3 linked regions of the Arabidopsis thaliana genome follow. The protein of the gene in region 2 purifies or fractionates together with the protein of the main gene of each other region. This does not show direct contact. Each region holds a gene or a part of one and is shown on either strand. Other genes may lie near its edges. The genes, in order: AT4G18060, NRPA2 and ELF7.

Region 1 (3,754 bases), on a different chromosome or scaffold from region 2:
AAGTATGACGTTTTCTCTGAGCCGTTCTCTGTTGGAATCGCAGGAGGAGCAGATTCTTTGTGTTGTTTCTCGGTTACCATCTACGCGGTAAGACCAAAAGTGTGAGCCTTTGATGAGAAAAAGATGTGGGAAAGATTCATCCAATACTAACCTCGGCTTCAATGTCACTGAGGATGGCTGCTATTCTTAAGTGATAATTCTTCTCCCCTTCAACCTAGAATAAGCGATAAGGTAAATAGTAATCTGCATATGACAAAAAAATCCAGTGTGTGTGTATGTAAAACATACCATAGCCACAAGCCTCTGGAAAGTGAGTCTATGTTGCTGTGATTCAACAGCGGCTAATGCAGCAGTTGCTTCTTTACCAAGGACTGCCATATTTGCTTTTAGCTCTTGCATTTTTGCTTCCGCTAGTTGAAGCTTTGCTACGTTTTCTGGAATCGGAGCTTCTCTTACACGTGCTTGCCGTCTAGAGACTTCCGTTGCCTGTTTTGCTTTTAAGTTTTAACTTACATTACAAAATAAAATAGCCAACATCATCATAGAACTAAGATCTTAAGATGATTACATGTGTCTCTGCTTCTTGTCTCATGCGGCTGTAACGTTGAGCAAGATGACGAGCATCTTCAAGAGGAGAACCGGCAACCATAGCTCTTAGAGGATCCAAAACCTTAACGGCATTTAACAAAAAGGTTTTCTCTTGTTATCTACTAGATTTAATTCTACGTAAACATACTAAGATTAAACACAGATAATCCAAGCCGAACCTGAGAAGCCAAAAGCTTGTTGAAGTCTTCTTGTTCTTTGTCTACATGTTTCCGTGCATCACCGTATATAGCTGCAGCCTTGGCCAGTATATTCTCATCAATGTTCTGACTATTTTCGTTCCCATACCTACAACAGTCTTCAGACAACTTGGTTCCTGAAATTTTAAAGAATATTAAAAGAAAACTCACAAAAGTATCATAGTATAACTTAATTCAATGATAGGTAACACAAAACAGACACTCATAAGTAGTTAAGTACCTGCTTCAATGTGTCTGAGCCCGATCGTGGTAAATGCCTCAGCTGCTTTAACAATATCTCTCTGGAACTCCTGAAAGTGACAATAACATATGTTTGAGGGTATTGTGCTACGATGAATCATACTGAAACCTTCTCCCCCAACAATGAACTCATATAAAATGTGACAATGCCATTAGGTCAATATCAGTCAAACCTTTGCAGAACGAGTAGAGCGGTAAAGTTTATCGAGTTGATGATGCCTTTGCATTTCAAGCTCATCAATCACCATTACATCTGAGCTTTCATAACCAGTCCCACTGAATTGCTTTATCACAGCCTACATTCCCCATTACCACACATCAATCAACACATCATCACAACCAAGATTGTGTAACTCTATAATACTCAATAATATACAAATCAAAACCCATCAAAAAGTTTCCATTTTTTTTAATCCAAATTAGCAACAAAGAACCTAAATTGAGCTTCGTTTCGCTGAATCGGTAACAGTGAAACTAGTTGCGGCGATGAAAAGGAATTACCAGTTGCTGCTTTGCGACTTGGTCTCTAAGCTTACTCGCTTGTCTTCTAAACGCATCCATTGTCACTTCTCCTCTTGATTTCCCCAAATTGATTCAGAGATACCAAAAAGAGACAAGCTTTAAAGGATTTTGAGTGGAATTGAGAAATCTCAATTAGATCAGAACAGTTTAAAAACTGACAAAGCAGATCAGATCTGATTCAGTAGAAATGTATGTTCTTCTTCGACTCGATGTGTCACTGATTATCCCTCTGAGAAAATCAGTCAATCACAGAGCACACACATCGATCTAAGCGGGTCGGGTCGATTCGATTGATTGAACCAAACCGGTCCGGTCCGGTCTGATTAAAAGGAGCGTTCGCGATTGAATTATTTGGAAGCAGACGAGGCTTTTCTACTAAAAACCTTACGTTACGACTTACGATTATTATTGAGTAATTAATTAAAATTAGCTAAATCCGTTTGGCATAAACTGAGATTAAGTTAATTAAAACTTAAAAGTATAGGTATTAACAAAAAAACTGACATGGACAACTCATAACCACTTGTTATTTGTCCCCACTCCTCCCATATCATTTTGTCCTAACTGCCATTACATAATTATAATCTGAAAAGACAACCTATATACTTTTTCTTTTATTTTATTATTAACGTTGCCTTTCTCAGTATAGTATAGATTCCTACTCTACCGACTTAAAATTTCAGTGAGATATTTCATTAAATTCCATGTTCTTAAAACAGGGTTCTATTGTTGATGTAAACTTAAATCAAATTATAGTCAACCAAAAGACAAATGTATATTGGTATCTAAAGTACTGAATGACAACATTTTTTTGTTTTAATTTATCTATAACACAATCAAGTTGTAAAGATGATTTTGTTTGAACAAACTTTACAAAAATAATCTCTATCCATTATACTATTTCGTTAATAGCTAAATTAGTAAACCAAACGCGGAAAATAAACGAAACAAACGCGGAAACAAAATTACAAGAAGATCAATTAGTGATTTTACAGTTAAAAAAAAGCAATAAAACTCAGAAACCCTTTCACATGTATGTATAAGAAGAATCTAAAACTTTCCCACTTCCACCAATTTGAGTTTTGAAACATTTACGGCTCGACAGAAAAGAAGACGCCATTATATTTTAACAGAGAGAAATCAAAGAGACAAAAGCCACGATCCGCCATAGCTGTTTTTGAGATCGATCCCCACCAAAGGAGCCTAGCCTAAATCATGCCTTCAGGTGCTAAGAAAAGGAAAGCTGCCAAGAAAAAGCAAGAGGAAGAACAACAACAACAAGGATCTTCTACTCTAATCAACCTCAAATCCAACAACCATGGTTTTTAATTCTTTTAACACCCCATAATCTCACTACTACTTTCTTCTTTTTGCCTTTTTCTTCTTGTTGTTGTCTCTCTGTATCTCTCAATTATTCACTCACACCACACACGTTTAGGCCACCTTTCTTGTTTGTTTATATATTTGCTTCGCTTTAAATCTGAGTTTTTTTTTAACTTTGTTCTCTGTATAGTTTCTTCAAGTTTTGATTTTTATGGTTTTGTGCTCATTGATCTAAACAAATGGGTATCTTTTTTACTCTTCTTTGTGTTTTGATTGGGGTTTTAGGCTCACAATTTTGGGATCTCAAGCTGTAAAAATTTGATCTTTCGGTTAATTTTAGCATGTTCTGCTTCGTAATCCATATGGGTTGAATCTAGTTTTCTGTTTTGGACTAAAGGATAGTTTTGTTTATCAGATTCATGATTATGATTGAAGTTGTTTATCATTTGCTGAGTTTTGTTTATCTCTGATGCTTTGGTTTCATTAGTAGTAGCTGTGCCTATTTTGTTTACTAGTATATGTTTCATTCTCTGGATGGTACAATAGTTAGATTTGACTTGAATAGTCAGTGTTAAGTCACTCTGTTTGTGATATTGATTGGATTTGTAAACTGATGTGCTAGATTCGAGAAGCCAAGGTGACAAGGAGAGCGATGATGGTGTTAATGAACGCATAGAGATCACTGATTCAAGCCATGATCATGACAAGAGCTCTAGTAGCAGCAGTAGTAGTAGCAGCAGCAGCAGCAGCTCCAGCTCGGATGATGAGTCACGGGAAGTCAAGAAGATAGATGATGATAAGAAGACTGGTGATGATGTTTCTGAAGTTATTACTGTGAGTTCTGTGCCAATTCAACCTGTGCC
Region 2 (3,754 bases):
TACCTTGAGAACAAGGCCGACAGGAAGCAAATATTCCCTTCCCACTATCCTGTGTCCATTAGAAATAAAGTTAACCTGTAGCTCAAATTGTAGGAAATGTCATCCACATTCCAACATCAAAAGTTAACACTTACCAAAATCCAACTCTGGCACTTCCATTGCGAAGATAATACAGTTTAACAGTAACAGATGACTGGTCGTCCCTAACACACCTAAGAATTAAGAAAAAAGAACCGCATGAAGAACTCTTTAAGATCTATTGCCACTTTAGGGGAAGATTGGCATTACTATATGCAACACATAAGGAAGAGATAAACTTCAAATACCTAGTGACAACTGCCTTGCTAGAGTATCCTTCCTTACGATCACGGAATGAGTTCCGAATCATACTTGTTGGCTATTATAAGAGATTCTTAGTCAGTTAAATTATGATACAAGGAACTTCATGGGAATACACTATACCCATAAACTTTATAAGCAAAACACTATACTCATGAACTTAGTCAGTTAAAAGGCGAGGTAGCTTACATGGTTCCGCTTTGGTGCAATAACACATCGAAACACTCTCTCAATCCCATTCAAAATAAAGTACCTATTTCAAGAAAAGCTAAAATTTATCATGATCGACTTATAGAAGGGAAGATATATCAAGAGCAACATGAATGCATAGACAAAACAGATGTTTTTAATCACACCCCAGTTTCCATTGCTATAAACATAGCTGTCATGCTTCACAAAAATACAGTTTAGAAAAAAAATCCACAGACACAAAATCACATATTAACCACAAGCCTCACAGTGGCTTTATCATAAGGTATAAGAGGTGGAAGAACATTTACCCTCCCATTTCAGAAGTTGACTCTTTACACTTTAACAGTTTCCGGCAATCAGCACCCTTTAAGCTACAAAGCTTTGACTGCAATAAAGTACGGATATCAATTTCTATTAGCTCATAAACAAAGACTTGTAATCATAAGCAAAGTCAAGAAGATAAATCATTGAGCTAAGCTTTGTTCCATTATCAGTTATAAGAACCAAATGTACAAATTAAAGCATCCAGCCATAGAAGTGACTCTCGCTTTGGGAATAGTCATATCTTCAGGAACAGAATCAAAGTAAAAATAAACAATAGCGAAATCAAATAAACAGATCACACTCACCATGAGCATAATAGGAAATTGCCCAAAATCAAACTTGTCTCTAACAACGACTCCATCATTATACTTAAAGCAAACATCAGCCATAAACGTTCCTGTGTACGAAATCTTCGCTTGCCTACACTGTTATTCATTAAACCAAAACCAAAGTTACTAACACACCAACAAAATATATAAACCTCGGAAACATGTTCAAAACAAAAAAACTTCACCTCAAAGGGAAGCAAAGGCTCTTTCCTTGATGTTGATTTAAAACTCTCCTTCTGTGGAGCAAATACTAGAGGATTTTCTAACCAAAGTATCATACTTGTCAAGGAAATCAGACACAACACAAACAAAAATTGAACATTACAAGAGCCATAGAGTAAATTCAACACAAAAAAAAAAAGGATATTGCTCAATTCATTCTCGGTGTTTGGATCGTAAACAGAAACGGGTTTGATTCGATTGAACATAACATCGAGTCCTTTCAGTGTCATGTAATCGAAAGACTCTATATGATGAGTAACGAGATTGTGAAGCTCCTTGAAGTCTTCCATCGTTGGAACCGTCGAGTCTTTCGCGTTCACAACCATGATTTAAGGTTTGCTCTCAAGCTAGGCCGGTTCTGAGGTTTGAGGAAGCTGAAATTAGGGTTTCGGAGGAGCTTTTTCTTGCCTGAGGAAATTGATGGAGAGGCGGAGAAGTCTGAGAGAGAAGGCGGCGCGAGAAAAAAGGGAAAGGGTTTTAGGAGTTTATTGAGTTTGGGTTTTACTGGTTGTCGATAACTTTCAAGTTTATTGCAGATATAATCCTCATCTTTAAAATGTTTATATTTCGAACCCTTAATTCTTAATAATTTTTCGAACGAGATTGGATACGGATTTTTACTATTTTTTGGTGAATTTCTCTATTGAACCTTAACGATATTTGGTGTTTAAGCTCACTAAAACAACGTTAATCAAGATCGAACAGGTATAAAATAAAAATACTATTATATCACATTTTTAAAAAGAGCAAAATTGATTTGCTACTAAAGCTAGTTAAGTGAAACTTTCGTGTATTGATGATATATTGGATGATGTGTTTGTTTGTTTTGCAAGATATAAGTTTAAAAGTGTGTATCTATACATACTGTTCGAAACTGATTTTTTGGGATCCACCGAGTGGTTGAATTATGCCGAAGATTTTTCGTTTGGGGAATGTCGTGTATGTTGGATTATGGTTATGGTCTTATGGATGAGCGCGATCAGACAATTTGACCGTTATAAAACAAAATTAACTAAAACTTTCGATCCGGGTCCTTTTTCTTAGCTTCTGGTTTGGGAGATGCATCAATGAGGCAATTATATGGTTTGGATGATCCTTGGGAAGACAACAATAGATTTTTCCTCGAAAAATTTTCGACGTGCAAGTTTGAAAAATGTTATGTGACTAGTCGGACAGTATTTACGATAGGAGAAGGGTAAGTATATTTTGCGTGAGTCGTGAGTTGTGTGTTGTGTGTGAAGCATAGTCTCATATTCAACGTTGGATCTCCATCCCATTAGAAACAACAATGAGAGGATCAGGATATCTATATAAGATCTCATATTTTCTACAATAATCATACCTTTACGAATATGATACCAACGTTGAAATATCACAATTCCAAAATTATGTTGTAATCCAAATGCTAACATGAATCTAATGCCGATTCATAGCTATCCAAAATGATCAAATTATGCAATAAACATAATGATATACACATCCAAACCATTTAAATGCAGTAAGACTAGTATGTAATGTTGTACCTTGCAATGGCTCGCATAATATTGTAGAACTCATAAATACTGTACTAGTTTAGAAAAACGTATCTTACTCTTGTGAATCTATTTTGTCATGCATAAGTTATAGTTATCCATTTTGATCATAATATATATATATATATATATAGTTAATTAAAATCCAATATTTTTGTCTGGACATATATATAAAAGCTTCTATTCCTTTCTTGGATCTACAAAAACCGTTCCTCGAAAGCATTGGCTTGAACATGTAAGATCTTAGCTCTGAAACGCATTCATTCTGCTGACTTACACTACGTGAGATTTTGTGTCACCAATTAGATCTCTAGAAGGGTATAACGCATTAACGCTGGACATCAATGTTGTGTATGTGAGATTTTGTGATCAAGACGTTCACCAACATAAACTCAAGTGTACATGTAGCTAGGCTTTGGTGTGTCAAAACATAATAATTTATTATTCGACCATATGATTTGACTGATTCCGTTTGTATTTGAGAGTTTATATCTTTGGCTTCCAACTAGTAAGAGTATCAGATGATATGATGATCACAAGGTAGCCATCAAAATCACCTTTATCCAACTAGTGATGTAGATTTTGAAAATTCAATCAGAACTCTCAAAAACATCATAATTGATTTCGGTCACCGGATTGACCGATTCTGATTGTATTTGAAAAAGTTTATGCATTTTATTTTTAACTTCTGAGAATGTAAGGTGATATAATAGTTAGAAATTAGTCATCAAGATCAATTTCTTCAGTAGCAGCAAGTTTTCATATTACGAGAAATAAGAGCATTTTCCATCCATAGCACTAACAAGGCCTTCCGTG
Region 3 (3,754 bases), about 20 Mb from region 2:
AAAGGAAGGGGAGAGTCAAATGTAATAGCATAGTATGCTACAGGTTCAGTGAAAATTATTAGTGGATGTTTCATCCAAAAGGCAATACACTAAAACCCTAGCAAAGAAACATTTGAACAAGAGTTGGAGCAGAGAAAAGGGAAAAATTAAAGACCCAACATCTCTCTTAAGTGTTGTATAGTTAGACCTTAACAAGGCTGCCTATTTTCCCACCCGATTGATTACACTATCCTATAGGAAAACTATTCGTGCATGTTTCCGACCACAGGAGATCCTTCAGAGAGAGCCAACATAAAGATAATCTGTAAAGTGTCAGCTTTCAAGCTGTGTCTACATGTAGGACTATTATGAGAAAATTTTGCCTGATTCGGTATTTCAGATTTAAGATTGTCTGCAAGGGGAAATAAAGAGCATCCAACCTATCAAAATATGGCAACAGTGGTAGAACTTCAACCGGCTGCAAGTTTTTATTGGTGGCATGAACTGGTCGAGACTTGCATGCCTCAAAGGATGCTTCAATATCCTTGATTTGTCTCTCTCTAGAGACCAAAGAAAAATAAACCATTAGACCTTTTTTTTTCTCACTTTCCTTAGAAATACACATATTTGAGAAACAACACACCTATTGTTAAGATTGTGCAAGATGTTGATGCCTCCTTTCATCTCTCGCAGTTCCTTTGCTTGCTTCTCCGTTAGCGACTACACAAGGTAAACATAGGAAATTGGAAACTGTCTCTAGAAGCTATACATGGCAAAACAAATTTCCAACAAGCGAGATGGATAGATACCTGTCTTGCCGATTCGTTATTAATAGAAGAAATGTATTGTGTTTTGACGAGCCAAGACATGCCTTTATCAGTAGGTCTTTCTTTCCTCCGGATGCCATCTTTCTTAATAGGTGTAACAGCGTCATCATCACGCAAGAGTTCTTCATCTTCAGGGGCAAGAGGTGCCTTGACTTTGGGAGGGCTGAAAAGAGCTACAACAGTAAGTATCCCCAGTAGATGAGGTCGCTGGCATTAAAGACACTAAGACTTTATTGAGAGCACATACTTGTACACACTTAGGTCAAGCAGATCCAAGGGTATTCCAAGATCAGGCTCGACAAAGATTTTTGGTTTCCATAATTTCTCCAGGGATGTGATGGTATACTTTGTAAATCTAGTGGGATCAAAATAGCTGGCAAGTAAGGACAGTAGAATAACACAGAAATAAAATTTGGCAATAATAGAGAAACATACTGATCTTTATCCCGTTTAATGGTCATAAGCTTAAGCTGTGCACTAGGGTCAGGGAGCTCATTCCGGAACCTTGAAGAAGAAGATGAATATCAGAGTCTAACAATAATATGTAAAAAAGATTTAGGTAGTCGTTTGAAGAATACTGACTTGAGCTTGCAGATGAAGGTGGTTGGTTTCTTTAACCTATTCTCGACCCTGTCGGTGGTGAGTAGGGGCGTCGGCTTCTTCTCCTCGGTGTGTCCCTTGGGCATCTGAGACTTGTGAGAATTTTTCATCTGCTGTCTATGTTTTTCGTCTTGCCTTTGTTTCTCTAACTCCCTCTTCTTCCTAAGCCTCCTCTCTTCTTCGGTCTCGATTTTCTTAGAATGAGGAAGATGAGACCTGTGGTGGTGCTTCGATGGATCCGGTTTAGCACGCTCCCGCCTTCCAACCTGCTTGGAGGCCCCTTTCTCGTGGTCATTGGGACCCTGGTGTCGAGGAGGATCGGGAACGAGCGGAGGAGGAGCTGAGGGAGGTGGCGGAGGAGGAGGAGCTTGGAGCTGGTTGAATTGAGGATAGTGGGGCCCCTGCTGATAGTAAGCATGCGGAGGAGGAGGCGGCGGCGGAGGATATGAGTACGGTTGATGCGACGGTGGTGGGGGAGGAACAGGAGGGGGTAACGACGGCGGGGGAGGCGGAGGGGCCAAAGAATTTTGAGATGGTGGCTGAGGAAGAGGAGGATACGGCGGCCGGTACGACGCCATTCTCGGTGTACTTTGTGATCTGAATCACCTAAACCAACTAAAACGAGTCTTCTTGATATATATTAATTATATAGCTCCGGTCAGACTGATTTTTCCTTTTTACTTTAATTTGGGCCTCACTAGCGGCCCAATAACCGCTACTATCATATGGGTTCTGATAATTACGGCTTCAATACAAACAAAAACAATCTTAAGCTCACCGTTTTATGAATCCCAAATATGAACGAAACATGCTTTGTACCACCAAGCTCATCGACGTGTGACTGTGTGAGGAACACAAAATATTTATTTTCTACATTGATAATTACTCAAACATTATGTACAGTATAGCGAACCGAGGTGTGTGGTTAAACACTCAACACGCTGGACCAACTTATGAAAACCTCTTACCAGGACTTCACAAGCCGAAGATGTTATGGTCGTTGGCACTGAAAATAGCACCGCCAAACTGCCTGGTGTTCAAGTCGCCTCCATCAAGGGCGGTCCCAAAACGGTCAAGCCACTGGGCAGGACTGGGATTCTCTGCCTCTTCCACCCACTCCGACATCATGTCAATGTCCTCCAGGGCAATTGGGTCTGTCTCCAAGGTTATCATCCTCCCTAACTTTAGATTCTGATTCACGTACGCCAACTTGTTCAATATTTCTCTGTCAATCTTGTTTCGCCTTTCCCAGTGCATCTGCTGGAATGTGCTCCATTGGCGTTCCAAGTTGTAACCGCTGCAAACTTGGCTTAGTATTCTGATGGCCACCCGCTGCAAAACAGGTGCTGAGTCACCAAACTGCTCCCACCAGAGACCTGCATTACTAAGCAAACCATTATTAGACATCAACTTCTAGTCTTCTAGTGCTTCGTTACCAATTCTAAAGATCCCAGACCATACCCCTAATAGCCTGGTGAGGGGAAGATATCTACTAGTTTTGCAATTCGGTTTACTACGTGCCAGGCTATATCAACCTGGACTTATTTAGTTGTGTAATAAGACCATAGCTTTAATTGCGGTCATAGATAAGTGGATTATTTTTCTCCCGACTCAGACTACCTATACATCTCTGTTCACTAGTCATGACTTAAAGAAAATATAAATGTATTTATTGTCCATACCTGGTGAAACTGAATCCCTCGCCTCCATGGCCAGGTTACAGCCGAACATTCCCTTTGCCCTAGTGAAAGTGAATATCTGATTTGTAATATCACGCCGTAGATCGCTAGTAGGAAGAAGTTTCTCCAACACTTTGAAAAAATCTTCTTTCAAGGAAGTGAGGAACTTTATCTCTGGGTTATACTGAATACTGGGGTTCAAGAATGCTGCTGCTGCATGAAGAGGTGAATGCAAATGCTCACACCAGTTAGTATCAACTATGTCAGAAAAGACCTTATGCTTATTCTCATCCATGATGTAGTATGTCCGTATTGACTCCTTGGCCTTGGACATTAACTCGTATATAGAACCTACAGCGGGCTTTCCAGTAGAAACTTCCCTCAACACTTTCAGGATAGGCTCGGAAATAGCCACACTTTCTTCCACAGCTCTCCAGAAATCATTATCCTCTAGGATATTCACGCATGAAATGCTCTGTGGTTTGTTAGTATTTGTGGTATACTCTGGGCAATTGAACATGTGTTTTAGCCTTGCCTTTTGTTTCATCATTGACTGTAATGATAGAAAATTGGAGACAGACCTTGTGACACCGCTTCGGATAATATCTTGCCCGCCTGTTAACTTTCTCAATAAATCTAGCACGGGGCTATTGTTGTAGACAAACTTAG

What was found.
Region 1: the proteins of NRPA2 (region 2) and AT4G18060 fractionate together in Arabidopsis thaliana (co-fractionation; one large-scale study listed by BioGRID). This does not show direct contact.
Region 3: the proteins of NRPA2 (region 2) and ELF7 fractionate together in Arabidopsis thaliana (co-fractionation; one large-scale study listed by BioGRID). This does not show direct contact.

The regions. Positions count from the first base shown.
Region 1 is NC_003075.7:10,028,056-10,031,809, forward strand, and holds the start of AT4G18060 (SH3 domain-containing protein), read right to left. Parts: upstream 1,979-3,754; 5' UTR 1,608-1,978; coding exon 1,548-1,607; intron 1,343-1,547; coding exon 1,220-1,342; intron 1,097-1,219; coding exon 1,027-1,096; intron 923-1,026; coding exon 768-922; intron 671-767; coding exon 569-670; intron 487-568; coding exon 289-486; intron 215-288; coding exon 152-214; intron 81-151; coding exon 1-80. Other genes in the region: AT4G18070 (suppressor), read left to right, coding at 2,784-2,889, 3,514-3,754. UniProt on the Arabidopsis thaliana protein: May be involved in the recruitment of DRP2A to the accessory protein complex and in the negative regulation of its GTPase activity.
Region 2 is NC_003070.9:10,484,939-10,488,692, forward strand, and holds the start of NRPA2 (nuclear RNA polymerase A2), read right to left. Parts: upstream 1,887-3,754; 5' UTR 1,733-1,886; coding exon 1,552-1,732; intron 1,456-1,551; coding exon 1,370-1,455; intron 1,281-1,369; coding exon 1,161-1,280; intron 917-1,160; coding exon 840-916; intron 593-839; coding exon 529-592; intron 398-528; coding exon 327-397; intron 213-326; coding exon 135-212; intron 50-134; coding exon 4-49; intron 1-3. UniProt on the Arabidopsis thaliana protein: DNA-dependent RNA polymerase catalyzes the transcription of DNA into RNA using the four ribonucleoside triphosphates as substrates. Second largest core component of RNA polymerase I which synthesizes ribosomal RNA precursors.
Region 3 is NC_003070.9:30,001,986-30,005,739, forward strand, and holds the start of ELF7 (hydroxyproline-rich glycoprotein family protein), read right to left. Parts: upstream 2,099-3,754; 5' UTR 1,985-2,098; coding exon 1,389-1,984; intron 1,311-1,388; coding exon 1,242-1,310; intron 1,162-1,241; coding exon 1,054-1,161; intron 970-1,053; coding exon 789-969; intron 700-788; coding exon 623-699; intron 540-622; coding exon 420-539; intron 1-419. Other genes in the region: AT1G79740 (hAT transposon superfamily), read right to left, coding at 2,382-2,782, 3,089-3,754. UniProt on the Arabidopsis thaliana protein: Component of the PAF1 complex (PAF1C) which is involved in histone modifications such as methylation on histone H3 'Lys-4' (H3K4me3). Involved in regulation of flowering time.